Yarrowia lipolytica: one gene and its partners. The protein of the gene in region 1 binds, or shares a complex with, the protein of each later gene. Links are inferred from orthologs where the notes say so. Each region holds a gene or a part of one and is shown in the gene's direction. Other genes may lie near its edges. The genes, in order: YALI1_E17760g, YALI1_D35907g, YALI1_E16023g and YALI1_B16584g.

Region 1 (6,608 bases):
CGCACTGGAGCTGTAATACACACTGCCCGCAGCATGAGCCTGCCATTCACGTCAAATGTCTCTTTTCTGCGACACAAGCTCCCATGTCTCACACAAGTGTGGGGTGCAGCCCTTGTAATGAATAATAGCTAGGGTACAACCCCCCGATACGATATTACGACGCTGACACCAGAAAAAAAAGTCTCTGGAGCGCCGTGGAAGGCTGGGGATGGATCGTGTCATATCCAGGGCAGCGTTACGGTTTCCCGAGCAGATCGTCGGATTGCCATACGAAGTCCTTCTGTACCCGCGTATGCCGCCTTTTCTTGGTTTTGCTTTCTTGTCTCGATTTTCTTCTTTCGCTTGTCCCCAAAAATAGCCTTCCCAAGAATGCCAAAATTAAAACTCACACGTTAGAGAGGTATTGAACAGGGCAATATAAGACATGGAGGAATGTGGTGTACCGCAAACGGCAGCAGGTATTTGCGCGGAGATTCTGGAGATGGCCGTATATTTTAGATGGTTGGAGGATCTGCCGATCACGTGACTCACTCAGTCATTTGTTGACAGAACGACTACTGTGCACATGTACACTCTCGTACAGTATGTCCAGTGCACTCTATCTCAATGCCACAATTGAACGTCGATCTGGCGGGTCTGGCGAGTAATTAACAGGTACGCTACCAGTAAGCGAAAAGCGGAAGCAAGCCTAACGGTACAGTAATGAAGAAAGTGCAACTGGATATACGGTAAACCTCACCTGATCCGGAAACCACACCGATTGGCACCTACGGTGGCCTGGTACCTACTTCAGTGACAGTCAGTTGCAGTTGAGGATGCAGTTGGCCCTGCACTGGGGGGTTCGCTTATTTCTTGGCAAGAATAATTTAAGAAATAATGAGAAGGCTGAGTATTGTCACTGGTGACACCTGAGAGGTTTATTAGTAATTAACAGGGTCACACGAGCTCTTAATTACGAAACCAATTAGTCGCTCACAATATGGCTGTCTCGGAAGGCCTGAAAATTATGAAACCAAGAAAAATCCACCTCCACGGTCCTATCTGACGCATGAGTTGATATCCAATTGTCCAATACCATACACGACTTTGCGGGGCTTTTGGATCTAATCTCCTCCACCACCCACCCTGAAGTGCTCTCTACTATCTAATTACTCAATATGATCGACAAGAGTGGCCCACGTGGAGTGTGCCTGATCTGCAGTTATTGAACCCTGAGACGGTGGGGTCCGGAGCAAAGCAAACTATCCCGCGCAGTGGCGGAGCGTTTACAGTTGGGCTAGAGATACTTTGGTACCGGATCTCGGAGGCCCCCAACTTCCTGCTTCCTATTCCCGCCAGCTTATCGTACCCCACCTCTGCTCAGCCCACCTAGTTCCGATGCAAGGACGACGATCTATGCACCAAAGTTCCATCGGGCTACAAGAACAAGCAAGACAAATTAAAAAAGACAAAGAAACGGGTGGGGTCAACGGTACGGGAGTGGGGAACACAAACGGGTGGGTCTACGTCGGAGCGTTGTGACATCATGCTTCACGCCAAATCCCCTGCAAGACAACAGCCTTCTGTGACAGACATGCGGCGGGATTACTGTAACACTTAGTTGCGGGTACTGTAGGAAAGCCAAGTATCCGAATCCGTACTTGTCGCCTTGGCCATATATCATTATAGTCCAATTCCTATGCACAAAGCTCTCTCTCTGTCTACAATTCACACACAAAATCACAGTATTGTACAGGTATACAACCTTCTTCATTATCTACATATCGTCGTTCGACGGGACTCCTCTCACTCAAGGTGAGGGTCTCACAGTGTGAAACGGATTTGACTAGGTCAAGTACAAGAGTCTGGCGGTGCTGGGCTTTGCATGTCTCTGTCTGTGGCTGTGTCTGTGTGCGCAGTGCAATGAAGTGCATCTTCATCGCCTCTACTCACCCTTCTGCTGTCCAGCCCAGATCTCCTCGGCCTCGACAATACACCGGTTGTTTGCCATCATCTTGTTGATAGTCTCGACATATTCGTCGTACTCGTCAGAATCGAAGACAATGCCTCCTCCGGCCTGCAGGTACGCAACACCGTCCTTGAGAAGCATAGTTCGAAGAGCAATGCAAGTGTCCATGGCCTCTCCGTTGTAGCCGAAAGATCCAACGGCACCGGCGTAGACACCTCGCTTCTCCTTCTCAAGCTCTCCAACCAGCTCCATGGCCTTGACCTTGGGGGCACCAGAAACGGTTCCGGCAGGGAAAATGGATCGGAAGGCGTCGAATCGGGTCTGGTCGGGTCGCAGAACACCAGACACCTGGGAAACGAGATGCTGGACGTGCGAGAAGGTTTCGACACCCAAAAGCCGATCGACGGAAGTGGATCGAGGATCACATACTCGGTTGACATCGTTTCGGGCCAAATCGACCAGCATGACGTGCTCAGCTCGGTCCTTCTCAGAGTTGAGAAGCTCCTGAGCCAGCTGGTTATCCTCGGCAGGAGTAGCTCCCCGCTTAACCGTTCCAGCAATGGGATGAGACACAATTCGGCCGTTCTCAATCTTGACGAGCAGCTCAGGAGAAGCACCAACAAGCTGGAAATCAAGATAGTCAATGTAGAACAGGTAGGGAGAGGGGTTGACGGTTCGCAGGTGTCTGTAGACGTTGAAGGGATGCAGGTCGGTGGGCCGAGCTACTCGCTGGGAGGGCACGGCCTGGATGATGTCTCCCTTCTTGATTCGCTCCTTAAGAGTGGTCACGTGCTGTTCGTAACCCTTCTGGCCAATGTTGGAAGTGAAAGTCTTTCCAAGGGTCACGGGTCCCTGGGGGGGCTGGGGAACCTCAGGGGAAGTCAGCAGGTCTGCGATTCGCTGCACCTCCTTCTTGGCGTCCTCGTAGGCCTTGGTGAGATCGGTGTCGGCCTCAACCTTGACATTGGTGATAACCTGGAGTCGCTGGTAGACGTGGTCAAAGGCCACAATGGTGTCGTAGAGCATGAGGGCACTTTCGGGGACCTCCAGGACGTCCTTGAGATCTCGCTTGGTTCGGGGCTCGAAGTACTTGATGCAGTCGTACGAAATGTATCCGATGGCTCCTCCACAAAGAGTGGGGACGCCGGGGGTCTGGAACTGTCGGTACTGGTCGAGTTCAGACTCCAGCAGGTTGAGCGGATCAACGTCAGGTCCATGGGGAGCACCAGTCTTGATCATCTTCCGGGGATTAGATCCAATGAAAGAGTAACGGGACAGATGCTTACCACCGAGGGCAGACTCGAACAGGAACGAGGGACTTCGGTTGGGGTCATCCAGACGAGCCAACTTGAGGTAGGCAGTATGAGGAGTCAGGGCCTCAGCATCCACATAGGCGAAAACGGGATAGAGGTTGTCGGGAAGAGTCTCCTTGGTGGCGGCGGCTCGGTTGTCGGCCACGATGGTCTGAAGAGCCTCTAGAGTGGGTCTGAGTTGGATCATTGTGGAGTAAGTGAAGCCGTTGAGCTGTCGGTGTTACAACGCACGTTTTACTGGTACCGGATGACTCTATGTCGAGGAAAGTTTCATACACACAAATTTCAAATAGGGTTATGGTATGAATCACTAAGCTACTGGTAAGGGGACTGCGGCTATACACTGTTAGTGGAGAGCTAAGGTAGAGGCGTTAGTGGCGCTAGTGGGGGCTCCGTGGGGGGGACTTTGTTGTGTGTGTGAGCTGTTGGTGAGATTCTCCATGATGTCTACTGCTCTGTCTTTTCATTGCAGATGTGGGGTTATGCAAGCGTGGTCACTGGGTGTACTGAAATTGTGTTGATGTAGCATTGTATTGGGGAATTTGCAATACTAGTAGTATCGTCAGTACAAGTGTGTTATGAACTACTATTGGGTAGTCTGGTAACAGTATGTACTGTTGCCCGAAAAAAAACCCTTGGGTTACCCAGTGGTTGTTCATTGTGGTCATGTAATCGTTATTGGGCTGTATTCACCTCTCGTTCGACCTTGCCACATCAGCTCTTCTCCTTTGTATCTTGTAGATGTCATTTTCTCCTCTAAAAAGACAAAAAGTCCAACTAAAACTCTTGGTTTTCTAGTTGGGACAGCTGCATAAAATATGCACTCTGGTTGTGTCACACCAAACATTTATTTACACCACTTTAATCAACCCATCCACTACTCTGCCATCACCCACCCAACAATGGACGCAGCGTCGGTACTCGACCAATACGTCCAGGACCTGGCGAACCTGCCGTCCGAGGTCGCACACATCCTCGAAGAGGTCCGAGACAAGGATCTCAAGTTCTATGAGACCCGCAAGCGCATCCAACAACGCGACAACCAGATTCACAAATTCATCAGAGCAAATGGCTCCCTGGCAGAAAACCCAAAGGAGCAGGCGGCATACCCCAAAATACGCCAGGACTTCCAGACCGCCATGGAGCTTCAGGACGAGAAATGCACTCTGGCAGCACAGGCGCTGACCCTAGTGGCAAAACACGTCAAGAAACTGAATGACGACATCGACAAGCTGGATGCCGAGGGTCTGTTGGGTGGCGCGCCACCACAGAAACCTATTTCAGCCAACAGATCGCGTGCCACGTCATCAGCCACTCCTGCACCGGAACCCCCATCCCGAAACTACACAAGAGACAGAGCCAACAGTCGAAGAGGCGGTTCTCCAGCGGCCAGTCGGTCTTCTACTCCTGGAACACGACCGCCAAAGAAGCGAGCGACTGACAAGAATAACGAGGCTGCATCTATGAGCAAGGAGTCGTCTGTGGGTGCCTCTGAGCAGCTCCGAAACATGCCTGAGACGGTGGCGGTGGGATCTCTGGATGCTGCTATTCGAGCCGGACCTGGGGAAGATGACGAGGTGCTCTACTGTTTCTGTCAGCAGCCGTCATTCGGAGAAATGGTTGCTTGTGATAACGATGACTGTCAGTACGAATGGTTCCATTACGACTGTGTGGGTCTGGCAGAGCCTCCCCAGGGAGTCTGGTTCTGTCCTTCATGCTCCAAGGGACGAAAGGGTGATAAGAAGAAGCGTTAACAGATACAATTCTGGAGTTTGAAACCAGCTTCCCACTGTTCTTCAACGCCTTCTACTGATCTTCCTGAAGCCGAGCCGCAGGGCGCAATTTCCATGTCACGTGCCCCCAAATCACGTGCCCCCAAAAATCGCGTGCGTCGCAGGCTGTATTCCAGGCGTCATGAACGCTGCGATTGAGCACTGTTTCCGGGGCTTGTTTAGTATAATCATAAAGGGAAGGACATGTTGATCGTTTTTGTATGAGCCCCAACAGCGCCCTTACGATGAGATCCTTCCCAAACTTGTAGTAATATATTATTTATTTGTCTCTATGGAGCGGCAACTGTATCAGCTCTTTTCCTCGCCAAAATACTTTTATCTCGCTGTGGTTTCGATTCTCAAGACATCGTCACCCGCCTCGTCCAAGTGTTATCATGGACGTCTTCGACGATCGCTTAACAGTGGTGTTCGGCTCTCGGCATGTCCGAAGAGGAAAGACTGCCCTGGAAATGCGTACAAGATGCGAGGTGACTCCACAAGAGGAAGTCACAGGGTGGAGGGACATAAACAGTGTGGAGCGGCTATACGAGGAATACGAAGAGGCGCGCGCGTCATCGTACTGGCGGGGTGTCTTGTGAGGGTTAAATTTGGTGTCGAAAACAAAACCTCCTTTAGAGACAGGTCTACTGGTGGTTCGCGTTCTTTTTGGTACCTCGCGTTTCACAGCGTTCCGGATATATCCGATTATCTCCGAGCCGAGATCGGGAAGGGTCTCACAAAATATAGGCGAACAACACAAAGAAAAAGAACCCCATCAGAGCACGTGATGCCATAGCATGCTTGTGTGGTCCACGAGGTGAGTGCGATAAGCAGAATTGTCGGCGTGTGCCGTATTAGGTGACTTTGCTTTTTCCGCCGTTTGTTTGTTTGTTCGTGTCTATTGGTTGGTCGACAGAAAACAGAAATAAAAACAAGACCAGTGAGGAGGATCTCCCTGTTGAAGGCCCTACTTGTGCTGTAAAATACTTCAAAAAAAAAAAAAACAGTAGCAGGGGAAACCGGCTCACGTGACAAGGTTAACTAATACCCCTCATTACACCGCGGATGCATGGTGTGGCGCAAACCCGGCGGGGTCCTAGGCAAGATCAGAGGTGGAAATCGGGCATTGGTGAGTAGTAGAGGCGGATTCCGCCGCCAGGCAGCTCGTCGACTGCTGTTCTGCGGTTGGGGCTAGCACCGACGACGGTCACTTGAGTCGCCAATTGGGTTTCTGGAAACCTGGAAAAGGGAATAGAGGCGAAGGCTAAATGCAAAGCCTGCTGACACGACAGTTACCACACACCACACCACAGAAGACTCTACAACAGAAACAAGTGTCAACATCATCTGGCTCGCCTCGCAAATCAGTACGATACAGAGAAAAAAAAAAGAACCTTCGACAGAGAAAAAGACATCCTTGCCTTTTTGCCCCCCTCAGCTTCTTTTCGACACCCCTATTTTTTGCGCCACTTTCTGGTTTTGATTTTTTGATACTCACATTGATTTATCTCTCTGGTATCAACAAACACACATTTTCATCCCCCATCAAAACACGGTAATACAACTTCCAGAATC
Region 2 (8,867 bases), on another chromosome or scaffold:
GACCAAGCACACTACGCCTGTGAGCACATTACAATCACAGCGGCAAACAGCAAAAATGTCGGATAAGGAGAAGAAAAAGAGCAGTGCGACGCACGCGGCCTTCCCTCCCTCAACGGCCTCGCAGCCTCAATCAATGAGTCCCCTGCTGTCTTCCACTCCCCCAACAGTCACCAAGGCACTAGCTCAAGCATACCCATACATTCTGGCCAGCGACAAGGTGCTGGGTCTGCTGACATGGACTGAGGATGATCAATGGCAGAGCTTTCTGTTGGTGGCCGTCTACGTGACCGTGGTCATGTACTACGAATACTTGGTCATCTACTGTGGTCACATTCTTGCCGTGGGCTTCATCTGGGCCTTTGTGTACATTCGACAAAGTGTGGAGAGACGGCAAACATCGGAGCCCTCTCTGGATGCAATTGTGCACACGCTGACCAATGTCACCACCAAGGCAAATCTTCTGCTGCTTCCAATCACCTCTCTGAGCCTGACCCCCAGAGATGTGACCCGATTGGCATTCACCACGCTCTTCCTATCGCCTCTGTATATGTTTGGTGCCTACTTTTTCCTTGGACCCCGAAAGTTCCTGCTCACTACCGGCGTCTTCTTCCTCACCTACCATTCCATGGCTGCCCGAGTCACACGAGCAGTCATCTGGAAGTCCAAGGCCATTAGACTGGTCACCTTCTACCTCACTGGACTCGACTTTTCCAACACAAAGCGAAACCTGGGCGCCTTTGGATTCACCCAATCGCCCCTGTCGGTGCAGTCCAAGGACGGAAAGCCCGTGCGGTTCACCTACGTACTGTATGAGAACCAACGACGATGGCTCGGTATTGGCTGGACCGCCAACCTTCTGGCCTACGAGCGAACTCCTTGGACCGACGAGTTCCTCAACGAGGTTACTCCTCCTTCTGAGTTCAAGCTGCCCGATACAGAGGGCACCGGCATGAAGTGGCAGTGGGTCGATCCTACTTGGCGATTGGACTGTACCAACGATGGCGCCCTGGTCATTATTGGCAACAAGGCTTTGAGCACGCCCGATCCTTCTCCCTCCGAGGGATGGATCTACTATGACAACACATGGAAGCGACCTACTGCAGACGACTCTTTTAGCAAGTACACCCGACGACGACGATGGGTGCGAACTGCTGAGCTCATCACCGTCACCAAGCCCACTGATGTGGTGGTCACTGTCGAGGAGGATGGTGTGACTGACGCTGCTGGAGATGTGGAGATCATCACCACCGAGACCGAGGAGAAGGTGCGAAGACGAAAGGGCATTAGATTCGAGGAGGACTCTTAAGAGATAATTAAATATATGAATGTATCATTTTTTTACGCGATTGCGTGTAAGAGAGGCGGCTATATGAGCTTGTTCACGTAATTCAAGGGTGTGTCTGTGTGTACTGTATACAATTACCGCCGTCTGCAGTAGGTATTGTATGCGCACACACACAGTAACGGTATGTGTACAGTGGCTACTTACTTGTACAGTACTTATACTTGTACAAGCGCCACATTAGTAGAATAATTCGTGCTTAGAACTACGTGTACTATTTTTCTTCTTTTTTGATTTTTTTTTGTTATTTGATTTAGATATGGGACCAAGGATCGATGGCAATGACGGTTCCGAATTTCTCGTTGCCAATGAAAAAAACCTTGTATTCATAGCCCCACTCGTCCAGCCAGGCCTTCACCTCCTTGGTCAACATGTCTGTTTTGGAAACAACATGGTAACCCACACCAGAGATCGCATACACCAGCTTTTTATTCTTTCTGTACTGCTCCTCGACTCCCAGAAGAATGTTCTCCAGATGCATGACACTGGTATCAAGCTCAAGCCCATGAAGGTCACAGAAGATCTCTCCAAGGTCATCTCGGTAATTGTAGAGAATGTCAGAGGCCTTTCTACTGGCTGCAATGAGTTCCTGCTGGTGCTTCTGACCCTTGTTAGAGTATATCTTGGCAGCATCAGGTCGGTTCATATGCCAGTTATCGGCAGAAAGGTTGAGATACTTGTTTCGCATCTCAATATGCTTTCTGCTCTCCTTTCGAAGCTGCAGGTACTCCTGAATAGGTTCGTCCAGCTGGTGAGGGTTCTCGACCCAGGGAGTGAATTCTGGTCGAAGAAGAGTCAGAGGGTTGTGTTTTTGCACAGCCATGCGAGCTGCCGGTCCTTTGGCAGGCGAAATTTTGGCAGGTGTGAAACTAGGTGCGGTAGGAGTGAAACTAGGTGCTGTAGGAGTGAATGCCTTAGGCACAAAAGAAGGGACACCAGCAGTACCAGGCACAAAAGATTCAGTAGGCTTCACCTTGCTGAAATCAAACCTCTTCTTGGGCTTCTCAGCAACAGTTTGTGTGTCATTAGAACTGGCCACAGCTGCCCATTTGCTACCTGGCTTCTCCCTTTTTTTGGACTTTGTGTCACTAGCTGTTCCACTTGCTCCTCCCAGAGTGGGGAAATCTTCCAAGGAGTCAAGCATGGGCTTGGAGAAGTTCTCCAGAGGCTTTGTGGGCTCTGGAGTAGACTCGGTCTCTGGAAAGGAATGCAGGAAGGCACAAGTCTCGCCATTCAAGCACGCGCCACGGACCCAAAATCGACACACACGTGATGTCAGATCATGGGAATATCTGCAATCTGCCCGCAAACACTCTCCAAACTGCACAAAGTACTTACAGAGAACCTTCTCCTCTCTTCCTGGCAACAGAGCCAGTGCCGCATAGACCTCTTTCTCGTCCTCATCGTACTCTTCCTCGTACATGCTGGGGTCCTCGTAGTTGTTGTAGCCGCTGTAATCGTGTACTTCCTGATGATGTTCCATCTCGTAAACCTGAGCGGCCTGCTCCTCTTCCTCCACATGCTCAGAACCTGAACGGTCGTCGTACTTTTGTAGCACCACAATAACCACATTGATGTCGTAGTTGTGCTTCTCCAGTGTGTTCTGGATCAGTTCATCGGAGTAATTGCCTCCAAGCACGGCTCTAAGAAGATCAAAAGGTGCCAGATCGGTCTCTCCATGCCCCACATGACCTTCACTGTCAGGCACATAATCTTCCCAGTAGACCTCCTCCTCGTCCTCAGGCAGCTTATCCCGTAAGGGAACGGCCTTGCCTCGCTTCTTGTAGTCGTCCACAACTTTGGACCAGTCGATTTCTGGAAGCACCTCTGGGATTTTGACCCAGTCGATGCTCTTGGACTTGTCGACACCCACAATCCGCACATCTCCATGACCATTGCGGTGACGTGTGACCGAGCCCTCCTTCTCACGATGTTTCCACATGAGATCCAGCACCATGCTCTCCCGTTCGCTAGAAGACATTTCTCCATGATGTTTCACCACGAGCTCTTCCAAAAGCTCGATCTTGTCCTCCTCCAGGACACTGTCATCATCTAGAATCGCATCTGCCTCCCTTGACAACTCGTCCATAATGTTGCGAGATAACGGCTGTCAAATTATAGGCTTGCTTCTCTTTGCCACAGGCGATATTCCATCCACAAATTCAGTCTATCCAGACCAGCCGTTGTAAATTATTTGAATCTTAAACTGGTGGACGAGATTGATGTGCATTGGGGCTGTCAGACGACGTCCATTAATAAGCAGCAGCTTGAAGAAGGATGGGTGAGCAACTTGTCAGATATGTGATTAATGATCGTCTAAATAAAAAATATGCCTTATTATTGTGAACGTAAGTGCCATGTCTGGCTATAACTTCCAGTTTCAGCAATTTACCATTGCTTTGCTAAAATAGACAATCCTAAAAATCGAACTGAGAACAACGTGTACATTTTTTCGCCCATCACGTGAATTACATCACCATAACTCCCGCGTATTCACTCTCTCAGCGTCAACCAGCATGATGGACCCGCGGCAAGAGACGTGCGGAGACATTGTGTCGACGCGTAAACGTCGGCTTGAAGAGCTATACTACGTCTCCTTGCACCCTCGGTACCCCCAAGGTCTGGATGCCAAACAGAAACTGAAGCAGTTCCAGGACCAGTTCGACCTGACACAAAACCGACTTTTCGACGAAAACAAATTACCAAAGGCGGTCGAAGAGCCCAAGCCAGTGCCGACCCTTCAAACCTCGACACCTGATGCAGGCTCTTCTCCAGAGTTGAAGCGACGACGTACGTCTAGTATTGCGCAACTGTCACCTACATTCTCACGCACATCACTCAAAACAAACGAGCAGCAACTGCAGGAAATGCTGCTGTTTCTGGTGCCCAGCAACATCCCCGAACCCACCACAGAAACTAAGTCGCTCGCTGAGCTATACTACACCACACAGACCCTACCACTGTCCAAGCTTATTCCGTCGGCGCACAAAACACTTACCACAGACTCCTACCATCTGGCGTTGCTGGAGGGCAAGCTTGCAGTAGCACATGCTCGTATAGAGGAGCTGAAGCGGGCAGGGAAATGGGGCCCCAGGCAGCCAAAGCGGTTCCAGGACCCTATCCGACGGAAAACACACTGGGACCATGTGTTAGATGAAATGGAGTGGATGTCTACGGATTTCCGGGAGGAGAGAAAATTCAAGCAGGCGATGGCTTGTGAAATTGCCTTTTCCGTGCTGGAGTACCACAAGTACGGTAAGGAAGCTTGTTGTGTGAAGACGAAGCCTATCAAGTTCCTACCAGAGGAAATTAACGAGTCTGAAGATACAGAGAGCAAGATGGACATTGATACAAGCATGCCACCACCAAGTATCAACCCTGTTGAGGTGACAAACATCTCAGCAGCGGATTCTGTCACTGTTGTTGACTACGATACTCTCCTCTCACAACCCAGGACACTGTCATCGACTGAGGAGTCTGAAGACAAGCCGGAAGAGCCTTCTACAGACAGTGAAGAGGTCGTCGGTGGGGAGGTGCCCAAGCGACCTGCTGCTCCTAAACTTCCTGAGAGCTCTCCGTTCAAGCTGTACGCCTCAGTGGACAAGCTGGACCCTCTATCCAAGGCTCTCTTTGACAACCTCCCTGTCACTACACCTCCTGGTTCTGCCGTTAATGCTCTACAGGTTCCCTACAGCGATCCTCTGGACAACTCAAAACTCGCACCTGTCACGCATCTTCTAGCGGCTCCCCCGGAGCAAGATGATTGGTGGTCGGTATGTCTTGAAGACTCTCCTGCCGATGAGGACACTCTCCCTCTACGATCTAACACTCGTTCTACACTGTTCAATTCGGAGACCATGCGCCGACATGTCGTCATTAAGGCGCCGCAGCCTCCACAGACCAAGTACCTCGACTTCCGAACGCCAACAATGTGGTTATTGGCTGATGATTCACAGCTTCTTCGACTGGTCAAGGAGTATTCCTACAACTGGGACATTGTGTCTGCCCACATGCTGCCCCAAAAAACTTACGGCTTCACAGCTAACATTGAGAGACGTACGTCATGGCAGTGCTTCGAGCGTTGGTTCCAGCTCAATCCGACGTTTTCTCTGACGGATTTGCGTGGTCCCTACGCTCAGGCTGCCCAGCAATGGATGGCCGCTGCTGCCAAAGCCCAGGCTCAGTCCAAGCGTCGCATCTCGCCTCTTGGTGTGTCGAATGAGTCTATCCAGAGAGGTCACCGGAAGCTGCGATGGGCTTCCATGTTTGACGGTATTCGAAAGAGCATGCGAAAACGAGAAACTACCCCCCGACCTAACCCTCAGCCGCCTCGAAAGTCGCAGCTATCCGAGTCCAACAAGAAAGATATTGCTTCGCCTCTGGATCTGTGCAAGATGAAGTTTGAGCAGGATAAGAATCTCGCAAAGGCTTACGCTCAGCAGCGGATGATGCCTGGTCAGATGCCTGGTCAGATGCCCCCGGTACCTTCTAACATTCCTGCTAACCGTCAGTTCCCCGGTCAACGACCTCCTCCTCCTCAGACCGCGGCTCAAATTCAGGCACACACGCAGGCACAGGCTCGAGCTGCTGCTGCCGCCTCTGGACATATGCAGCAGCGTATGGCTGGTGTGGGCATGAACAGAATGCCTGGCCAGATGAACGACCAGCACCAGATGATGCAGTTTGATCGACAGCGGCAGCTCATGGAGCAGCAGAAGATGCTGCAACAACAGCAGCAGCAGCAGTTTATGCGAACCCAGGGGCAGGTGCCTCCTCAGCCAGGCCAGGTGCAGGGACAGGTGAACCAGAACGTCCAGGGCGCTCAGGTGGCTGCCGGTCAGGCTGGTATGGCTCAGAGACCGGCCGGCCAGATACCTCAGGGCCAGATGCCTGCTCAACAGGGACAGGTTCCTCCTGGCCAAGCTGGAAATCAGGCCCAGATGATGCGTCCCAACATGCGAATGCGACCCGGAGGTCCCCAGGCAGCTGCCCCCAACGAGCATCTGAATGCTCTAATTCGCCAGTTGCAGAACCAAAACCCTGCTTTGTCTCTGGAGGCCGCCACCAAGCTGGCGCATGTGCAGGTGCAGCGGTTTGTCCAGAAGCAGCAGCGAGTAGCTCGTCAGGCTCAGGGACAGACTCCTCCTCAGGGACAGATGCGTCCTGGACAGCCCCAGGGACAACCCTCTCCTCAGATGCGTTCGGGTTCTTCGACTCCCATGAACATGCAATCGCCACAACTGATGAACGTACAGCTCCAACAGCAACAGCAGCAACGGTCTGCTTCACCAGGTCAGAGCCCCGCCCAGCAGCACGCCATGCTTATGCGAATGAACCAGCAGCAGCAGCAGCAGCAGCAGCAGCACAGCAGAACCAGGGACAGACCCAGGGACAAAACCAAGGACAAGGTCCATCCGAGTAAGATGGCCGTCCGATTATTTATGTATACAGATAATATTATTGAACTCTACAGTACTTGTAGCTACTGTACTTTTACAACACTTCGTCATGTAAAAGTAGCTTTCTCTCTGCTACTATCTCGTAACCATATCCTCATTCCGTAACTCCATTGTCTATAATATATGTTCAAACCCGCGCACTGGTTACTTCTTCTCTCCGCCAATCAGCCCATTGACTCCACTCTTGAGAGAGTCCCAAGCACTGTTGACGGCCTTGCCGAAATGTTCGCTTGACTCGTCGACGGCAGATGTGAATCGCTTGTTGGCAGAATCAAGATCAGATTGGGCATGGGAGGCACCCTCCTTGAAGTTGTCCCAGGTGCCGTGGGGCTGTCCCTTGCTGTCAAAGGTGTCTCGGATCTTCTCGTTCTCGTGCTCGGTGTTCTTCTCAACCTTGTTGAACTCGTTCTTGACGTCCTTGTTGAAGTCTTCGGCCTTGTCGTGGACTCCGTGGGTCCACTTTTCGTTAGCATCCTTGAGCTTCTCGCCCTCTTGGTGGGCTTTCTTGTCAAAATCGCCGGAGAAGGTGTCGTGAATCTTCTCGTTCTCCTTGCCGAGATTCTTCTGGGCGTCCGAGGCGCCTTCCTTGAGCTCATCCCAGCCCTTCTTGACGTCATCTCCGAGGCTCTCAGAGCCCTTCTTGAAGTCATCGCCAGCCTTGGAGGCGTCCTTCTTGATGGTGTTATCGACGTGGTCAGCAGACATTGTGTGTGTGTTTGTGTTGGTGTATGTGTGTGTGTGGAGTGAAGTTACGAAGATGGGCACGCTATATATACCTATGCTGCCTCATCCCTATCTCCGGTCTCCATGCTCCGAATGATTTACAGATCACTTGATGATTCTGAAACAACGTGATATTAAGCTATCAATGCATTTTCATGCTTACAGGCCTTGTCTATGATTGCTATCTGTATGCGGTATGCAGAGGAGGCATTTTCAGTGTAAGACACGTTGTTATCCTTCTGCGCGATAAATCCTAGCTCGAGCGCTGAATTGGGATTGTCTGGAGACGTCTGTACACGTAAGATGAAGCCCTCGAAAGATGGAGGCGTGCCTGTGTCAATTAGCGTCCTTCTGCGAGATTTACTTTTGTCGTACATTCACATTTTAACCTCTGCTGCCTTGCATGGCCACGCATCCGATGACGTTGGCGCGCGTGGTGCAACTGAGTGGTATTGTCGCATATGCCGAGAGCCCCGTAAAAAGATGGGAGAGCCAGTGGTTTTTGTTCGGCAATACTTTTGCGAGGCTTGAGTGCATACGAGGTCATTAGATCAGGCACGTTCCGAAAATAGACCATGGAGTGCCTGTGATTTAATGGCTATCACACTCCGATTCAAGCCTCTTAATTGAGTCTACCAAGGTGCTAGCACAAGTACAACTGAAGTAAAATGATGCAAGTTGAAAATGACCCTTGGGCGTGTTAATGGGCCACTGTTCCATAATAGGTAAGAACTATATATATATTATATTATTATAAAATAATCAGCTCATATAACGATGAGGTCCTCGCCACCCATTCCATGACATTCTCGCTTAGCGCTGTGTGTGCGCTTAGTGGAAGTCTAATTGCGAGTGGTGTAACCGATAAAGTTCACACCACACACTTCCAACATCAAACTCAATTACACAATCACACCGACACAACACAATATCCACACGACATCCCTTCCTGATTCCACATATTGTCACTTCATTAGGGGTATTAATTAATTATGATCATTATATAAGAAAACAAGACATGCTTAGAAAAGCATGGCGACGGCAACAGCACCGGCAACAGCAGAGACACCAAGGGTGGCAGCGCCGTTGGCCTGGGCGGGAGGAGCAGAGGCCTTGGGGGCCTGGGCAGGGCCGGTGGAGTGGGGAGCCTGGATCTGGCCATCATTGATCTGGGAGACAATGGCACCGGCAGTGGCGTGGGCACCAGCAGCGGCCTCGGACTTGGGGGCGGCAACAGCAGAAGAAGCCTTGGAAGCAGCAGCAGAAGAAGCAGCGTGAGAAGCAGAGGCGGCAGCGGAAGAGGCGGCATGGGAAGCAGCGGAGGAAGAGGTGGGAGCAGCGGC
Region 3 (5,862 bases), about 170 kb from region 1:
TACCTGTCTTTCGACATGTCTCTGGCCCGAGGTCTTGATTACTACACCGGAATCATCTACGAGGCTGTGACCGAGGCCTCTGCTCCCCCCACCGAAGAACAGAAGGCTGCCCTCAAGGCTGCTGCTGAGAAGGATGGCAAGAAGAAGAAGAAGTCCAAGGATGACGACGACAACTCCGAGAACGTCGGTGTTGGCTCCATTCTGGCCGGAGGACGATACGATAACCTGGTCGGCATGTTTGCCAACAACTCCAAAAAGGGTAACATCCCCTGTGTTGGAGTCTCCTTTGGCGTCGAGCGTCTTTTCTCGCTCATCAAGTCCCGGCCCGGACTCATGGAGAAGGTCCGACCTGCTGCTACCCAAGTCTACGTCATGTCCATGGGAGGAGGACCCGAGTACACGGGATTCCTCGCCGAGCGAATGGCCGTCACCCACAAGCTGTGGGAGGCCGGAATCGAGGCCGAGTACATGTACAAAACCAAGCCCAAGTACCCCCAGCAGTTCACCGCCGCCGAGAAGGCCGGATGTCCCTTTGCCGTCATTCTGGGCCAGGACGAGTATCCCCAGGGTCTGGTCAAGATCAAGGAGCTGGGTCTGGGTGAGGAATCTGACCGAGGAACTGATGTCAAGATTGAGGATCTGGCCCAGATTCTCAAGGAGAAGATTGCCAACAAGACCTCTTCTGTTGGTGAGGTCCAGAAGCTTCTCAAGGACTTTACCTTGTAAGTGTAAATATGAATAAAAGTTATGACTATGATTGAATGTAACACCGTCCAACATGTAGATACCTATAGCAGTGTCAGTGGCCCAGGAACTATGCACAAGTACACATTCGTTTTCATGATGTACTTGGATACCACGTGAATCATCATCTCTCGTAACTACTTGTACCTGCACCCTCAATTACCATCAAATACTTATATATGATACATATCCTTCATTATCCATCAGCACAAGCCTTTGGCTGGCGCATGACTAGCCAAAGACTTCTGCTTTGTCTCATACATCTATTAATATACAGTTAGCTGTAGCTAATCTCTTTTGCGGGTAGCTACTCCCTCTACCCTCCCTTATCCAAACCGAGGAATCATCATCAGCCGCGCAAGCTGCTGTGGGGGCACCTTCAGAGTGACCCAGAATGAAGTAGGATCCGCCAGCTCCTCCACATAGTTGGTTTCCAGCTCCTGGCTCTGTGCAGCCACAGCCACAGCGGCATTAGCAGCAGCAGCTCGCACTGGAACATGTCTACCGGTGGTTCGCTGTCGCTTGGCAGGCCGCACCACAACGTTTCCATCACTGTCCTCTTCCTCTTCCTCCTCCTCTGCCTGAAGTGCCTGTTTAGCCAACTCCACCTTTCGGTCGACAGCTCCAGGAAGCACAGCGGAGTAAACGGGAGTTCGGAACGTTCGGACAACCTTCTTGAAATCGGGCAGAGAAGGTGCGCCTCGTCTGCCGGCTCGTCCCTGTCGACGTTTCTGACGAGAGTCTCGGTCCTTGTCCTTATCCAGGCGACTCAGCTCGGCCTCAGAAATCTCAAACAGCGCAGGAGAGTACTCGTTGACCGAGTTCTTGGGTCTCATGACGGATCCATCGGGTATGGGAGCGCAAATCTCACGTCGAATGTCCTCGTCGTCCACAGGTCGCTGATCAAAGGTGTGGCCAAGAAGCAACAGCGACTTTGAAAAGACCTGTGTCTGCTCATGGATGGCATGGGCAATAGCAGTAGCAAACTCTCCAGACAGAGACAGCTCGGCACACATGGTGGCAGCAAACTCTTCTGGGGAGTTGAGAGAATCGTTGATGTCCCACTCAAACTGGTCAATTAGATTGTGCTGACCAACTGTGATATCCAGGCGCACCACAACTCGCATGTCTTCGTTTCGGGTCGCATCTCCGTTGCCAATCACGTGTCGAGGGTCCTGGGGGTACTGATGCGGCTGGAAATCCTGCAGCTGTTCAGTGATGGAGTTTGTGACCGACTGAATGTACTGGTGGGGGAAGTGGAAGTCCTCGAACATGTTCTCCACGAAAAAGTGCACGGGATATGTCTTCTCGTTAAGGTTCCACATGAAGGTGTCTCTAAGTCGAAGTCGTCCGAGATCGAAGTCAAGACGAATGGGCACCAGCAGTTCCGGTTCTGCCGCCTGCTGATTCATCTGCTGACGCGACAGCACCAGGTCCCGGGTGTTTCGGTTGTGTTTCTTTCGGTCACGGGGGTACACGAACCGTGTGTTGAGACCTGTCCAACCATTGCCATAGCCGAGGTATCCGTCTTGAAAAATGGACTGGGGCTCCTGCGAACGAATGGGACCAAACGAGTGGTAGAAAGAGATCTCATATCGCTTGGCGTTGAGCTTGTCGGCCTCCTGCTTGAGCTTTTTGGGCAGCGTGGAGGACTCGTTGAGATCCTTGGATACAAAACGACGCAGGTTGAGTTCTTGGGCGGTCTTGGGGTCACGTTTGTTTTTCATAATCTCTGTGAGATCAGTAATTCCCTGGCCGTTGAACAGCGTGGGCATCTCGGCGAGCGACTCGGCAGCCGAGGGAGGGTTCACGAGAGGTGTCTCCTGTTGTCGGGCGTCATCGGAACTCACAAGACCCAGATGTGACTGCACGGGAGGGACAGTGAGGCCGGGCTGCATCATGGTCTGGCCTGGTGGGGGGAAATCAAAGTTCTTTTGGGGTTGACCTCCAGCCATGACGGGGATGCCTCCTTGCTGAGGGATGAGCTGCGATTGCGGCATAGGCACCTGCTGCTGCTGTTGTTGGTGGTGATGCTGCTGCTGCTGTTGCTGCTGCTGCTGCTGCTGCTGTGGCTGTGGCTGACGCTGAGGGGGTTGCATCTGTGGTCCTCCACCCATCTGCACCTGGCCACCCTGCTGCATGCCGCCCATGCCCTGCTGGCCCATCATACCCTGAGGTCCCATGGGTCCACCTCGACCAACTTGGGGGTTCATTCCTTGGCCCATGTTCATACCCTGACCCATGTTGGGCATTCCTGCCATGTTGGGCATCCCTCCGACATTGGGCATGCCACCTGCTCCGGACATGCCACCCATGTTCATGCCGTTCATCTGGCCACCCATGGGTCCGCCCATTTGCGGCATGCCTCCCATCTGGCCCATTTGGCCCATCTGAGCCATCTGTGGCATCTGGCCCATCTGGCCCATCTGGCCCATCTGCGCTCCCATATCCATGCCTCCGATTTTCGCGTTGTTCATGTTTGGGCTCATGTTCATGTTGTTGAAGCCCATCTGTCCATTGGGATTGCCTCCCTGCTGGAACTGTTGCCGGAACGACATGGTGTACGTACGGTGTGTAGTGTGGCGTGTACGGCGGTCCAAGTAGTGCGGTTTGGAGGTGTAGACGTGCTAGACGTGTGGTGGTGATATCCCAATATTAGCGTTTCGTGCCAGCCCGAAATGTACAAAGGCGAAAACGTCAGCATTGCTGAGCCATTAGAGTTACTTGACATTTTTAACTAAATCAATGACCAATTTCTAATAAACAAATACTACATGTGGTGCACCATTCCAATCGGGTATCGTGATAATTATAATTATCACCACCAATATTGAAAACCTCTCAGTATTCGACCACAATGAGCGACCAGAAAATGAACCAGTACGAGAAGCTGAAGAAGCAGCTCAAGGACAACATCAACAAGAAAAAAACACATGACAAAAACCTCAACTCGCTGGAGGAACAGATATTCACCCTGGAAGGCGCATATCTCGAGGAAACGTCCCATGGAAACCTCGTCAAGGGCTTCGACACATACATCAAGGGCGCGCAATCGAAAAAGCGCTACGTGTTCAACGAAGACGACCGGCTGTTTTCGCTGTCCTCGGCGGTCTTTCTCAAACACCAGGCCAAAACAGGTGCGGGGGGTGACTTGGACGAAACCAAGAATGAAAGGAAAAAGACCGCTTCTCAAAAGAGAAGAAAGGGGGATTCGACGCCCATGTCTGGCGATGAGAAGCCTAGTAAGCGGTCGAGGGTGGACTAGTTCGGGAACAAGCGAAACGAATTCTGGACCTGTTGCAGAAGGACGAGCAGGGTGGCCCCTTGGAGCTCTATAAGAGAGACCAAAGGCTGAGGTGGCGGACGTCACGCTCAGTATAACCATTTATTTATTATTGTACAAAAAACACTGTTGCATTTACGTGGAGTGAGGACGAGCACCCAACAGGTACAGAACTAGTAGAGTATATAGAGGGTCGGTAGAGTGTAACGGAGTCTCTCACGATGGTGGCGAGGGTTGCCAGACTTGAGGGCCATCGACAGTTAAGTGAATCACCTGAGAGACCACAACCAGGCTCTTCTATAGACGTTTGAGAGTGTGTATTGCACTACACTAGGCCATATGCTTATGATCGTAGTGGTTTTTATATGTATATGATTGTTGGATGCTTCTAGTCCTCTCTAGGTTCGGTAGTCTCCGTTAATGGTGACGTACTCGTGGGAAAAATCACAGGTCCAGAAGTTGGCGTTCTTGCCCCCTCCGGTGCCGAGGTTGATCTGGATCTCCAGGTCCTCCATGTCGAGAATCTCGGAGGCTCGGGCCTCGTCGACCTGCTCGGGCTCACCATTGACCAGCAGCTTGAGCTCGGAAGAGCCGTCGGTGGGCATGAAAGAAACAGTGGTCTTGGTGGGCTCGACCTGCATTCCAGAGTATCCAACGGCACACAGGATTCGGCCCCAGTTGGCGTCCTTGCCGTAGAGGGCAGTCTTGACGAGAGGAGAGCAAGCCACAGTCTCGGCCACCTTGGCAGCCTCCTGCTCGGAAACAGCGTCGTTCACAGAAATCTTGACAAACTTGGTGGCTCCCTCTCCGTCCCTGACAACGAGCTGGGAGAGTCGAGAAGAGAAGTCAGTGAGGATGTCCTGGAAAACAGGAAAGGAGGCAGAGGTCTCGGTGATTTCGGGACCTCCAGCGGCTCCGTTGGCCAGACAGACAATGGTATCGTTAGTGGAAGTGTCTCCGTCGACAGAGATAGCATTGAAAGATCGGTCAGCGGCATGCTTGAGAGCAACTCCGAGAGCAGAGGCAGACACGGGAGCGTCAGTAGCAAAGAAACCCAAAAGAGTGGCCATTCGAGGGTGAATCATACCGGCTCCCTTGGTCAGACCAGCAATAGTGTAAGTATTATCTCCAATCTTGAACTGCTGAGACATGAGCTTGGGAAAAGTATCGGTGGTACAGATTCCCTTGGCGGTGTTGAGCCAGGCCTCATGGTCGTCCTTCATGGCAGGGGCGTGCTCTTCGATTCCCTTGAGAATCTTGTCAATCTTCAATCGCTGTCCAATGACTCCAGTGGACATGACAAGCGAGGCAGGTAGGTCGCTCTCGGATCCAAAGACCTGGTCGGCTTTCTTGACCATCTGCTGGGCATCATGGATACCTCCCTCTCCAGTCACGGCGTTGGCGCATCCTGAGTTGACCACCACGGTCTTGATTCCCTTACCCTGGGTTACGTCGAGGATCTTTCGGTCCACCTGCACAGGAGCGGCCTTGAACACGTTGGTGGTGAACACGGCCGCGGCGTTGCAGGGCTTATCGGACGACAGCATGGCCAGATCCATGTTGAAGGCATTTTTCTTCACGCCGGTGAAAAAGCCGCCGACCTTGAACCCCTTGGGGTAGGTTCCCGAGGAGGGCACAAACCGCTCTTTGCCGGCCTGGACGATTCGACACGAGGAGAAATGTCGCACTTGCATCGCAACGGACGGGTGAATAGTGGGTGGTGATGGTTGTGGAGCGGTCTACAGTATTTATGCGTCGTGCGAAGGTTGGACGGTGCATTAGCCAATGAGTCAATGGGTATTTGGGAGGTTGATTTGGGGTGGTTAAGCGGAAGT
Region 4 (8,219 bases), on another chromosome or scaffold:
AGTGAAGAAAAGAAGAGGAAAAATTGTGCAAGAAATTTTGCTTTCAAGACTTGGCTGATGCAGCAGGGTAACTCTGGGACACAGACCTATGTTTGTGGTTAAACTCAATGCACGTGGTACGTGCGTGGAGCGCTTACCCATCCAAGGGTGTGGACATGGAACCGACGGTCCGTGGAGTTGTGTAATGTCATTTTGGCGACTCTTGAAGCAAGGCTATAAAAAAATTGTGTGGCTTGAGTCTTATCGAGCTCGGTCACTACAAGAGTTAATCTTCCTGTCTCAGGCAGACAGGTCAGGCAGGGTTACTTTTGGGTGTGCTGTAACTCACTGTATGGCCGTTAGTGCGCATAGACGTTGTACATACTGGACCGAATTGTAGCGTGCTCAATAGGGCCAATAAAGCTATTGTAGCTCAATGTTGAGGTCGTGGTCGAATTGAATTATTCGCCACTATTGGTCTAATTTATTGTAGGGTGGGTTATACCATACCCCATAGCATGAAATGTCCAGTTATCCAGGCCCAATTTTTCTGTGCATATTTTCGATTCAAAGTTGGCCCAATTTTTTCCGGTCATACAGTTCAATTTGTCACAAAGCGTACTGTACTTACAGCGATGATCCCGCCATTAACACTGACCGTTCGCAGCATACATTAGATAGCGGGTACAGCACATACCTGTACGAGTACAGTACGAGTACGAGTATGTACTATTGTACTATGTTACCCGACCATGCTTTGTATGATACCGTACATACTGGATTCGACATACTGCAAGTGCTTACCATCATCACATAACAAGGACATCCGCATCTGCTCAACGGGCTTTTATTATTTTTGGTTATACTGTAAAAGAGGAGGTTGATCTGGGAGGAAGAACTGAGATCAACATTTTTGCATATTAACCAGATTACGCCATATACGAGATGCATCCTAATTGTCCCTCCAAGCTCCCCTCTAAGATTCCTCTACGCTCCCACATGTGCTGACGACTGGACCAATGGTCCTGTCGTATGGTTTCTCTGGAAACACAGTCACGAGTAGCCTGGTTTGGGACCATGTCATGAGGCTTATTTCCACATGGGGACTGATTTCGAGCTAGTCGTGTGTGAATGGCTCTGTCTCGTTTGTTTTTCGTCATTACCGAGTGTGTCTCCATCCCGTATGTCTCATCCCTATCAACACTTCTCGATGCTTCAGTTGTCTACTCTTCTATACGATACTATACATACGCTCTACCGTTGGAACTGCTCACTCCCACCCAACAAAAGTGCCTACAATCCTGCTGTAACTAACGCTTCCTGTCCACCTGATAATGTTACAATATTAAGTTGCATTCAAAGCCAAATCAGAAGGAGCGGAAACCAAGCCGGGTTACAGTCCCATCGTACAAGACCTGTATCCAGACTCACCACAGAAGGCAGCTGTCACAACTCACACACCCAGCATTTTTCATCTCTGACTGCCAACTAACCACACGCTCGGTGCCATCTTTGAGAGCATCCCTACGGCTTTTCTACATCTGAAACCCCAGCCTCTGTTTTTACACCCTCGAACAGCCGCATGCTATAACCAACCCAGGCTCCAAACATGGGTTCTTCAGCCCTCCGGAGCGAGACAACAGTGAGTATTTTTGCGTGTACAAGATTGTGGTCTCAGTTTGGTTGCTCGTGAGGTATTTGCGGCTCTTCTTCAGCCTTATGGAGCCTTTCGCAGGGCTGAAATTAACCCAACTGAGAGCTCCCTTCCTGAAACGGTGGTACCTGTAGTTGAGATGACTGAAAATAAAAAAAGACGGTGAGCGAATGGCACAGCTTGACTCTTACTGCGCTTTTCACGGCATCAAAAAAATTCAGGAGTCCTTTTTGCCCCATTTTCCTACCCATAAGACTTAGTGTCATCAGGTCCCGACTGACTGGCTCTTGCACCGTGCACTCTCAATGCACTTTTACTTTCACTTCTCTTCTCACTCTTCTACCCCACACACCACACATCAGAATGTCCACCAAAAGATAACTAACCAGCGATAAAAACGGCCACACCGCTCAGTGTGTGCTGCCCAAAGTGAGTCTACAACCCCCGTGTGTTTTCGTCCCCTCTCCACCATTCTCTGATGTAACTGGAACCTGGCAATTTTACCTACAAAGGTGGCCAAATCGGAGCGAGAAAAAGTACCGCAAAAGTGATGGAATTCCTGCTTGCTTTGACATGGCAGAGTCCCCACAATCCGGTGGACTTGGCTTTGTGCCAATTCGCACCGCTGGCGTCTCCTTGGGGTACTGTCTGGGGGTCCCGGTATGGGCACCCGGTCAGTGTGGCGCTGAGGGACTCACGTTTCGGTCACGAGCACCTCTTCGACTCCACAGTGGCCCCGAGACACTCAGTACGACGCACTCCTGAGGTCCTGTGCCCGACTGGCCCATTTCCGACCTCTTGACTTCCACCTGATCAACCCACCACACTGGCGCTATTTCCACCCATCCTCAGAACGCTGGCCGAATTGGGAGCGCCGGGTTAGGGCTTTGGGTTTGACGAGGGGACTACGAGTATGAGTATGGGATGCCAAACTGCCAGATAATATCTGGGATTTTGGTGTGTGCTGGGAGTTTCGTTAGAGTTTGTTCGTTGGGAGGAAGTAAAAGCCTATTCTGGGTCGGGAAACCAAACACACCACACCCCCCTTGCAACTCTTTGTGGAGGCTGCTGTCAATCAACATTACACACACACACACACACGAGACACACGGCACACTGTGCACGACATAACACAACACAACACCGACGACGGCAACGACACCAAGTGGGCACCACACAACAACATCGTTACCGACATCTGAGAAAGACGACTTGCACAGACAACGACCCACTGAGCATTGAAATCTCACCCGCGGCGAACTATTTGATTTTATTTGCGCCAACAGCCTTGTTACGAACCAGCTGACTGACGTTCGATTGCGACACGTAACCCCCTTCGGTGGCAAATTAACCCCCTCTTTTTGGCTTTACGACCAGCTCTCCTGTGCTTAGACTCGGGCAGGTTCTGACGTAACAAGTCCCAACAATCATATACCCTAGCCCTAGATTTCCTATTGCGGGGTAAGAGTTGTCCCAGTGGCAACAACGGGCCAATAAGGAGCGGCGACGAAATGTGCAAATTTTTCTAGGCGGATTATCACCAGAAATTATCGACGAGACTGCGAGGAGGAGGAGTGGAGCGGACGAAAAAACGACAGCAAGCAAGAGCAGACACTACTGTAAGACACCGGCCCTGACCAGACCTCTTTTCAGCGCTCTTTTTGCCCCCATTTTCGGCCTACTTTCCCTGCTCTTTTATTTTTAAAACTTCGCAGACACCGTGACACGCGCATTTTTTTACAGGGGAGGATTAACAGGGCGACACTAAAAAAAGACATCACCAACAACACACACAGCAACCACGCTTAAAGCGTTCCCATACGACTCCACCAAGAATGGCCAAGGCAGCCAAGGCGGCCGGTTCGTCGGCACGCTTCCGCCAGCGGAAAATCAGCGTCAAGCAGACGCTGGCGGTACTCAAGCAGTCTGACATCCCAGACCTTGAGGAGGAGCAGCAGCGCGAGCTGCAACAGATTGAGACGGGAGTGGAGAAGGGCGAGGAGGAGGAGCACCATCTGCAGGCGGCCATCAACTCATCGATAGCCCAGAGCACCGGCGCAAAGGTGGAGAAAATCTACATTCCCACCCCAGATGCGTCGCAGGTGTGGAAGGAGTATGACCGGTTCTACTCTTCGTCGTTTCATGAGCCCGCCAGTTACATCCGGACGAGTGTGACGGTCGAAGAGACCTCCGGATGTCTCTACAACATGGATGATGAAGATGCAGAGTTTCTCAAGACGTGCAAGCCGCCAATATCGGAAGACGACTTCGAGGAGGTGATGCACAGATTCGAGGTGACCATCAGCGAAAAACAACCGTTTGTGTCCATCGACGTGTCGAACCTTCTGTCGTTTGAGGAGATGGCCCAGCACATTGAAGATGGTATTCGGCAGGTTCAGGAGGACCCAACGTCGCCGGAATACATTTTGGCGCAGTTGCAGTCTTCTCTAGGCATCACTGTGAATGGTACTAAGGGTAAGAATGAGGGTAAGGCGTTTCTGGCAACGTTCAAGAAGATCGGCGCTGTCATCTATCCACACTGGCGAGCACGCAAGGTGGAACGCAAAGGCCAGTCCATTGTGCCCCACCTAAAATTTGAGGATCATGAGAAGGACGACAGTGACCCATATGTGTGTTTCCGACGCCGAGAGTTGCGGCAGGTGCGAAAGACTCGTCGTACGGACGTGTTGAGCATCGAGCGACTACGGCGCATGCAGGCAGAGATGGAAACCGCCAAGCAGCTGGTGGAGATGGTTGCCACGCGAGAATTTACTCGCAAGGCTGCTCTCAAGGCTGAATGGGATGTGTTCGAGGACAGATGCGCCATCAAGACTCTCAAGCGAGAGTTGGGCATCAAAGGTGAGGATGAGGATCTGGTGGCTCAAAAGAAGCGAAAGGTGGAGCCCAAGAAGGAGGAAAAAGCGGAGAAGGCATCTACTCCTGTTCGAGGAGGCAAGGCCGCTGGCTCTGCTGCTTCTGCCCAGGCCGCTGCTGCACAGGCTGCTGCTGCAGGCTCGGGTTCGCCTTCCGTGTCTTCCACACATGTGCCACCAAATGTGTCCATTCCACCGTCCAAGATCCCCAACATGGACCTCATCACTATTGCCCAAGTTGTGCGAGACAAGGACGAGGCGATTGCAAAGGCGGTGCGCGAGAAGCTACGACTTCGAGCAGATGCAGACCGCGACTGGCACAATCTCACAAACTCGGGCTACATTCCTTACTGCGAGTACTTGAACGCTGAGGTATCTTCTTCTGGTGAGCCTCCTGTGCCTCAGTACTCGTCTATCAATGAGATGGCTTACTTTGAGAAGCACAACGCCAGCCACCGGTACACCACCAAGAGCGACTTCAACAAGGATCTCGCCAGTATGGTTGGCAACAAGCCCTTTGCAGATGCTCAGGTGTATGGTGCTATTGTGGGAGATGATGGGGAGTTGCGATTATCAGATGCAACATCTACTTCGTCACCTGTGGACCGTGTTATTCCCCGGTCTTCTTTTATGTCCATGCGAAAGCGTGTTGGTCGAGGAGGACGGATGTGGATGGACCGGCGAGGCCTGCAGCGCAACACTGTGCTCAAGCCCAGCAGTCTGGCCAAAAACTCCCTGGACGACACTGCCGAGAGTGAGGCAGACGAGGTTGCCATGGAGCGACTGGCAGACCGGCAAAAGTACGATCGAGAGACAGAGCCGACGCGGCAAATGTCCAGCTACGACAAGGACCCGTCTCAGCTGAATGGCATTTCGTCGGACACACAGTCAATTCGGTTTGGCTCCATGCTGCTGTCCAAGGCCTACGAGAACTACCGCGAGGTGTTCCAGCAGCGCCAGCAGCAGTTGATGATGCTACAGCAGCAGATTCTTCAGCAGCAGCAACAGCAACAGATGCGAAACCGGCAACAATCTCACCCCCCGGGCGACCCAGGGGCCGGTCTAGGAGGTGGTCAAGGAGCCGGAGGAGGAGCTGGCGGCAGTCGCAACAACAGTCCTGCTCCCGGTACTAATGGCCCTCAGTCCAAGATGCACAATGCCGCTCCCATGGGCTACAACAAGCAAGGTATGACGCCCAGCCAACATCAACAATATCAACAGATGCAGCAACAACAACAGCAGCAGCAACAGCAGCAACAACAGCGTAAAATGGGAGTCGCTCCTATGAATGCAGCTTCCGCGGCTGCAGCGATGGCCGCTCAACCTCGGCGATCTAGTGGCAGTCCTGATGGTCAACGATTCAACGGACTGCCCAACGGAGGGGCCATGGCCAATGGGGTTCTTCCGAATGGCATGAGTCAGCGGATGATGCCTGGAGGAGACATGAAGCAGAAATCTGAGTTGGCAAAGGTGGATGCGTAAAGAGAAGACTGTATATAGTAATGATGATTTATGAGCACCCATGGTGTATTCTTATTTGATATTGTAGTGGATTTACTGGTGAGGCGAGCATGTGCTGTATCACTGTATGCACATGTCCTGGAGATTTGGTTTCATTGTACTTGTATTTCGACCGGGGAGCATTGTGTTTGAAGTTAGGGGGGGGTTTTATTGTATTGTGGCAGCTGCTGATAACGACGACATTTGTAATCTGTCAACTTTGTTATCAATCTGCACTGTGACTGCAATATGACAGACGTGCAGGGCAAGCTTTGTGTTGATGTCACTCACTCTGGTTTGAATTTGATTGAAGAGATATCGAAAAACGCATATCTGAGCCGACTTGATTTGGCGATTCGTTTTATGTATTGAACTATAGAGACCGCTAATTATGAGCCAAGATGCTTGTTTCAGATTCCACCCTGCCTTGATTTGGGGCTATTTTGGCAAGGGTAGAGTGGTCGTACAAGTACTTGTACTCGTAGTCTAATGTAAGGTGTTCTACCTGTAGCTAAGTACTTATACTAGCTATTGCGTAATGGCTCGATGTGATTAGATCTCGCTAATACAACTACATTCGTACATCATCACTGTATGTATCGTGCCGGACTGTTTTAGACCGCTCCATTGACTTCACCTTGTTCACAAAATAGCGCTGTTTGACGCACGCTACGGGACGATACTAAGCTATTGTATGTCTACATACCCGAGTTTGGTGCCAGTAGGCCCCTCTGCTTGTCTTTGTCGCCGTTAGTGCATCTGCTCATCAGCTCAACAGTCTACCGTGTCTATCATGTATCAGTCATGGTATTGTGCAACGTCTTTCTCAAATGAGCTTTCGAGAGCAGCGAGTAGGGGAAACAAGCTCAAGAAAGGTTCACTACAGATTTGCTCACAGAGCGTCTTCTTTCTTCGACAGGTGCTTGTGCTCTCCAGCGGAGATTTACTTAGTCTGGCCTTACTTTCTGTAGCTTTTGCATGTAGAAATAAATCACATGTTTTTTTCTGTCGTTCCGTCAAGGTCAATGTGTCTGACAGCTGTCGTATCACAGGGTTTAGTATGAAATTTCCGAAAGAGGGAAATACGAGACTGACGATATATGCCACCGCCTACGCTGTCTACAGTATGTGTACACCGTTTCAGCGAGCCCGACCGTGCCCGGCAGGTGAGCCCGGTCAAAAGCAACGATCTATGCTGCAAAAAGAAATCATGTCTCAGGCCTACTTATGTGGGTATGAGCATGAGCATGAGAGCCGGTATTCGAGTAGGTACAAGTACGTATTCGTACAAGTAGCTACGGTACATCGGCAGATCGGAGTGCGAGGAAAGTAACTCGTAATTAAAACTCTCATTGAAGGAGGGAAGGGGGCTTGGTGTCAGCTATCTACAGATGATCACTTGGTTTCTAATGACAGTTGATGCCATCGCACTTCTACGGTACAGTTGTAAGAACAAGTACCCGGCACCTACGGAAATATTCATCAGCTGTCTTATTTGTGCTTCAAACAATGGCTGCTTTTGGTTGTCCAGTTGGTTGCTACATTGCCCAGGTACCAGTGCGCGTCTCGCAATAGAAAGGACGGGTAGTCTTTTCCTCCGACTGGCAACCTGACGATCTGTCTTGGCCGCTGGGTCTGGAATGTGTCTTGCGTGCCTTCTTTTTCTTCTTTTTCTTCCGTTACCTTGACTCTAATTGCTGGTTAAGTAGAGTAAAGCCAAACGTCTCTTGGCCCTGCTGCACGAGTGGTGCACCAGTGCTAGTCCTTCTTTCCATGGAATGTAGTTACCCTTGTAAATCACTTGAAGAGATCAGACGCACAGGGATCATCCGACAGGTAGCCGGGGAACGCTTCGTCAGATGAGATACTTGTAGGTCTCACCACAGGGGTAAGCACATCACTTTGGTGGTCAAGAGACAACGTTATTGGGCTGGCCGGCAGTCAGGGGTACATGAAACAAGTGACACCCAGACGGCATGTGCAGAATGTGCGTGGAGTGGTATATACGAGTGGTGAAGGGACCCCCCACGGTTTGACATGACTTGGGGTGGGCAAGCCACAGACAGGTGCTGCTGATCTGGGACTCCGTAGTTGGAGTTGGAAAGCTCAGCTGCGTGTCGCAGTAAAACACGGCTAATGGCGGCGCACGGTTGCTCGGAGAATCTTGCTCAATAAAGGAACAGTGTCTGACGATCCTTTTAGATGATCTTCAG

What was found.
Region 2: YALI1_E17760g (region 1) and YALI1_D35907g share a complex: the UniProt entries of both Saccharomyces cerevisiae proteins name them as parts of the nuA4 histone acetyltransferase complex. The link is inferred for Yarrowia lipolytica from reciprocal best matches to the Saccharomyces cerevisiae genes YNG2 and EAF1.
Region 3: the proteins of YALI1_E17760g (region 1) and YALI1_E16023g are in contact, whole or in part, in a crystal structure (PDB 5J9T), measured with the Saccharomyces cerevisiae proteins. The link is inferred for Yarrowia lipolytica from reciprocal best matches to the Saccharomyces cerevisiae genes YNG2 and EAF6. Residues at the interface, in NP_011958.1 of Saccharomyces cerevisiae: Ile11, Val14, Leu17, Pro18, Phe21, Arg22, Leu25, Ile28, Gly29, Asp32, Leu33, Ile36, Lys40; in NP_012615.3 of Saccharomyces cerevisiae: Ile69, Ile70, Gly72, Phe73, Asp74, Asp92, Ile94, Phe95, Leu97, Ser98, Ser99, Ala100, Thr101, Lys104.
Region 4: the proteins of YALI1_E17760g (region 1) and YALI1_B16584g are in contact, whole or in part, in a crystal structure (PDB 5J9Q), measured with the Saccharomyces cerevisiae proteins. The link is inferred for Yarrowia lipolytica from reciprocal best matches to the Saccharomyces cerevisiae genes YNG2 and EPL1. Residues at the interface, in NP_011958.1 of Saccharomyces cerevisiae: Asp2, Pro3, Ser4, Leu5, Val6, Leu7, Glu8, Thr10, Ile11, Val14, Asn16, Ser19, Glu20, Phe21, Tyr23, Leu24, Leu25, Glu26, Glu27, Ile28, Lys39, Tyr42, Glu46, His50, Ile53, Arg54, Gly57, Ser58, Ile59, Pro60; in NP_116629.1 of Saccharomyces cerevisiae: Thr144, Thr145, Ser146, Tyr147, Ile148, Lys149, Phe150, Ser151, Ala152, Asp156, Asp231, Leu234, Gln237, Leu238, Ile242, Phe249, Ile250, Thr251, Gln252, Phe253, Arg318, Arg321, Ile326, Asp327, Ile328, Asn330, Ser331, Arg333, Leu334, Arg335.

The regions. Positions count from the first base shown.
Region 1 is NC_090774.1:1,771,970-1,778,577, forward strand, and holds YALI1_E17760g (uncharacterized protein), read left to right. Parts: upstream 1-4,079; coding exon 4,080-5,015; downstream 5,016-6,608. Other genes in the region: YALI1_E17754g (uncharacterized protein), read right to left, coding at 1,925-3,448; YALI1_E17773g (uncharacterized protein), read left to right, coding at 5,326-5,829. UniProt on the Saccharomyces cerevisiae protein: Component of the NuA4 histone acetyltransferase complex which is involved in transcriptional activation of selected genes principally by acetylation of nucleosomal histone H4 and H2A. The NuA4 complex is also involved in DNA repair.
Region 2 is NC_090773.1:3,585,593-3,594,459, reverse strand, and holds YALI1_D35907g (uncharacterized protein), read left to right. Parts: upstream 1-3,858; coding exon 3,859-6,906; downstream 6,907-8,867. Other genes in the region: YALI1_D35945g (uncharacterized protein), read left to right, coding at 56-1,306; YALI1_D35911g (uncharacterized protein), read right to left, coding at 1,596-3,431; YALI1_D35870g (uncharacterized protein), read right to left, coding at 6,946-7,506; YALI1_D35852g (uncharacterized protein), read right to left, coding at 8,547-8,867. UniProt on the Saccharomyces cerevisiae protein: Component of the NuA4 histone acetyltransferase complex which is involved in transcriptional activation of selected genes principally by acetylation of nucleosomal histone H4 and H2A. The NuA4 complex is also involved in DNA repair.
Region 3 is NC_090774.1:1,600,053-1,605,914, reverse strand, and holds YALI1_E16023g (uncharacterized protein), read left to right. Parts: upstream 1-3,601; coding exon 3,602-4,009; downstream 4,010-5,862. Other genes in the region: YALI1_E16068g (uncharacterized protein), read left to right, coding at 1-726; YALI1_E16026g (uncharacterized protein), read right to left, coding at 1,071-3,302; YALI1_E16002g (uncharacterized protein), read right to left, coding at 4,426-5,721. UniProt on the Saccharomyces cerevisiae protein: Component of the NuA4 histone acetyltransferase complex which is involved in transcriptional activation of selected genes principally by acetylation of nucleosomal histone H4 and H2A. The NuA4 complex is also involved in DNA repair.
Region 4 is NC_090771.1:1,654,947-1,663,165, forward strand, and holds YALI1_B16584g (uncharacterized protein), read left to right. Parts: upstream 1-3,468; coding exon 3,469-5,988; downstream 5,989-8,219. Other genes in the region: YALI1_B16566g (uncharacterized protein), read right to left, coding at 1,542-1,731, 1,778-1,899; YALI1_B16572g (uncharacterized protein), read right to left, coding at 1,992-2,326, 2,379-2,421; YALI1_B16578g (uncharacterized protein), read right to left, coding at 2,539-2,939, 2,986-3,247, 3,316-3,411.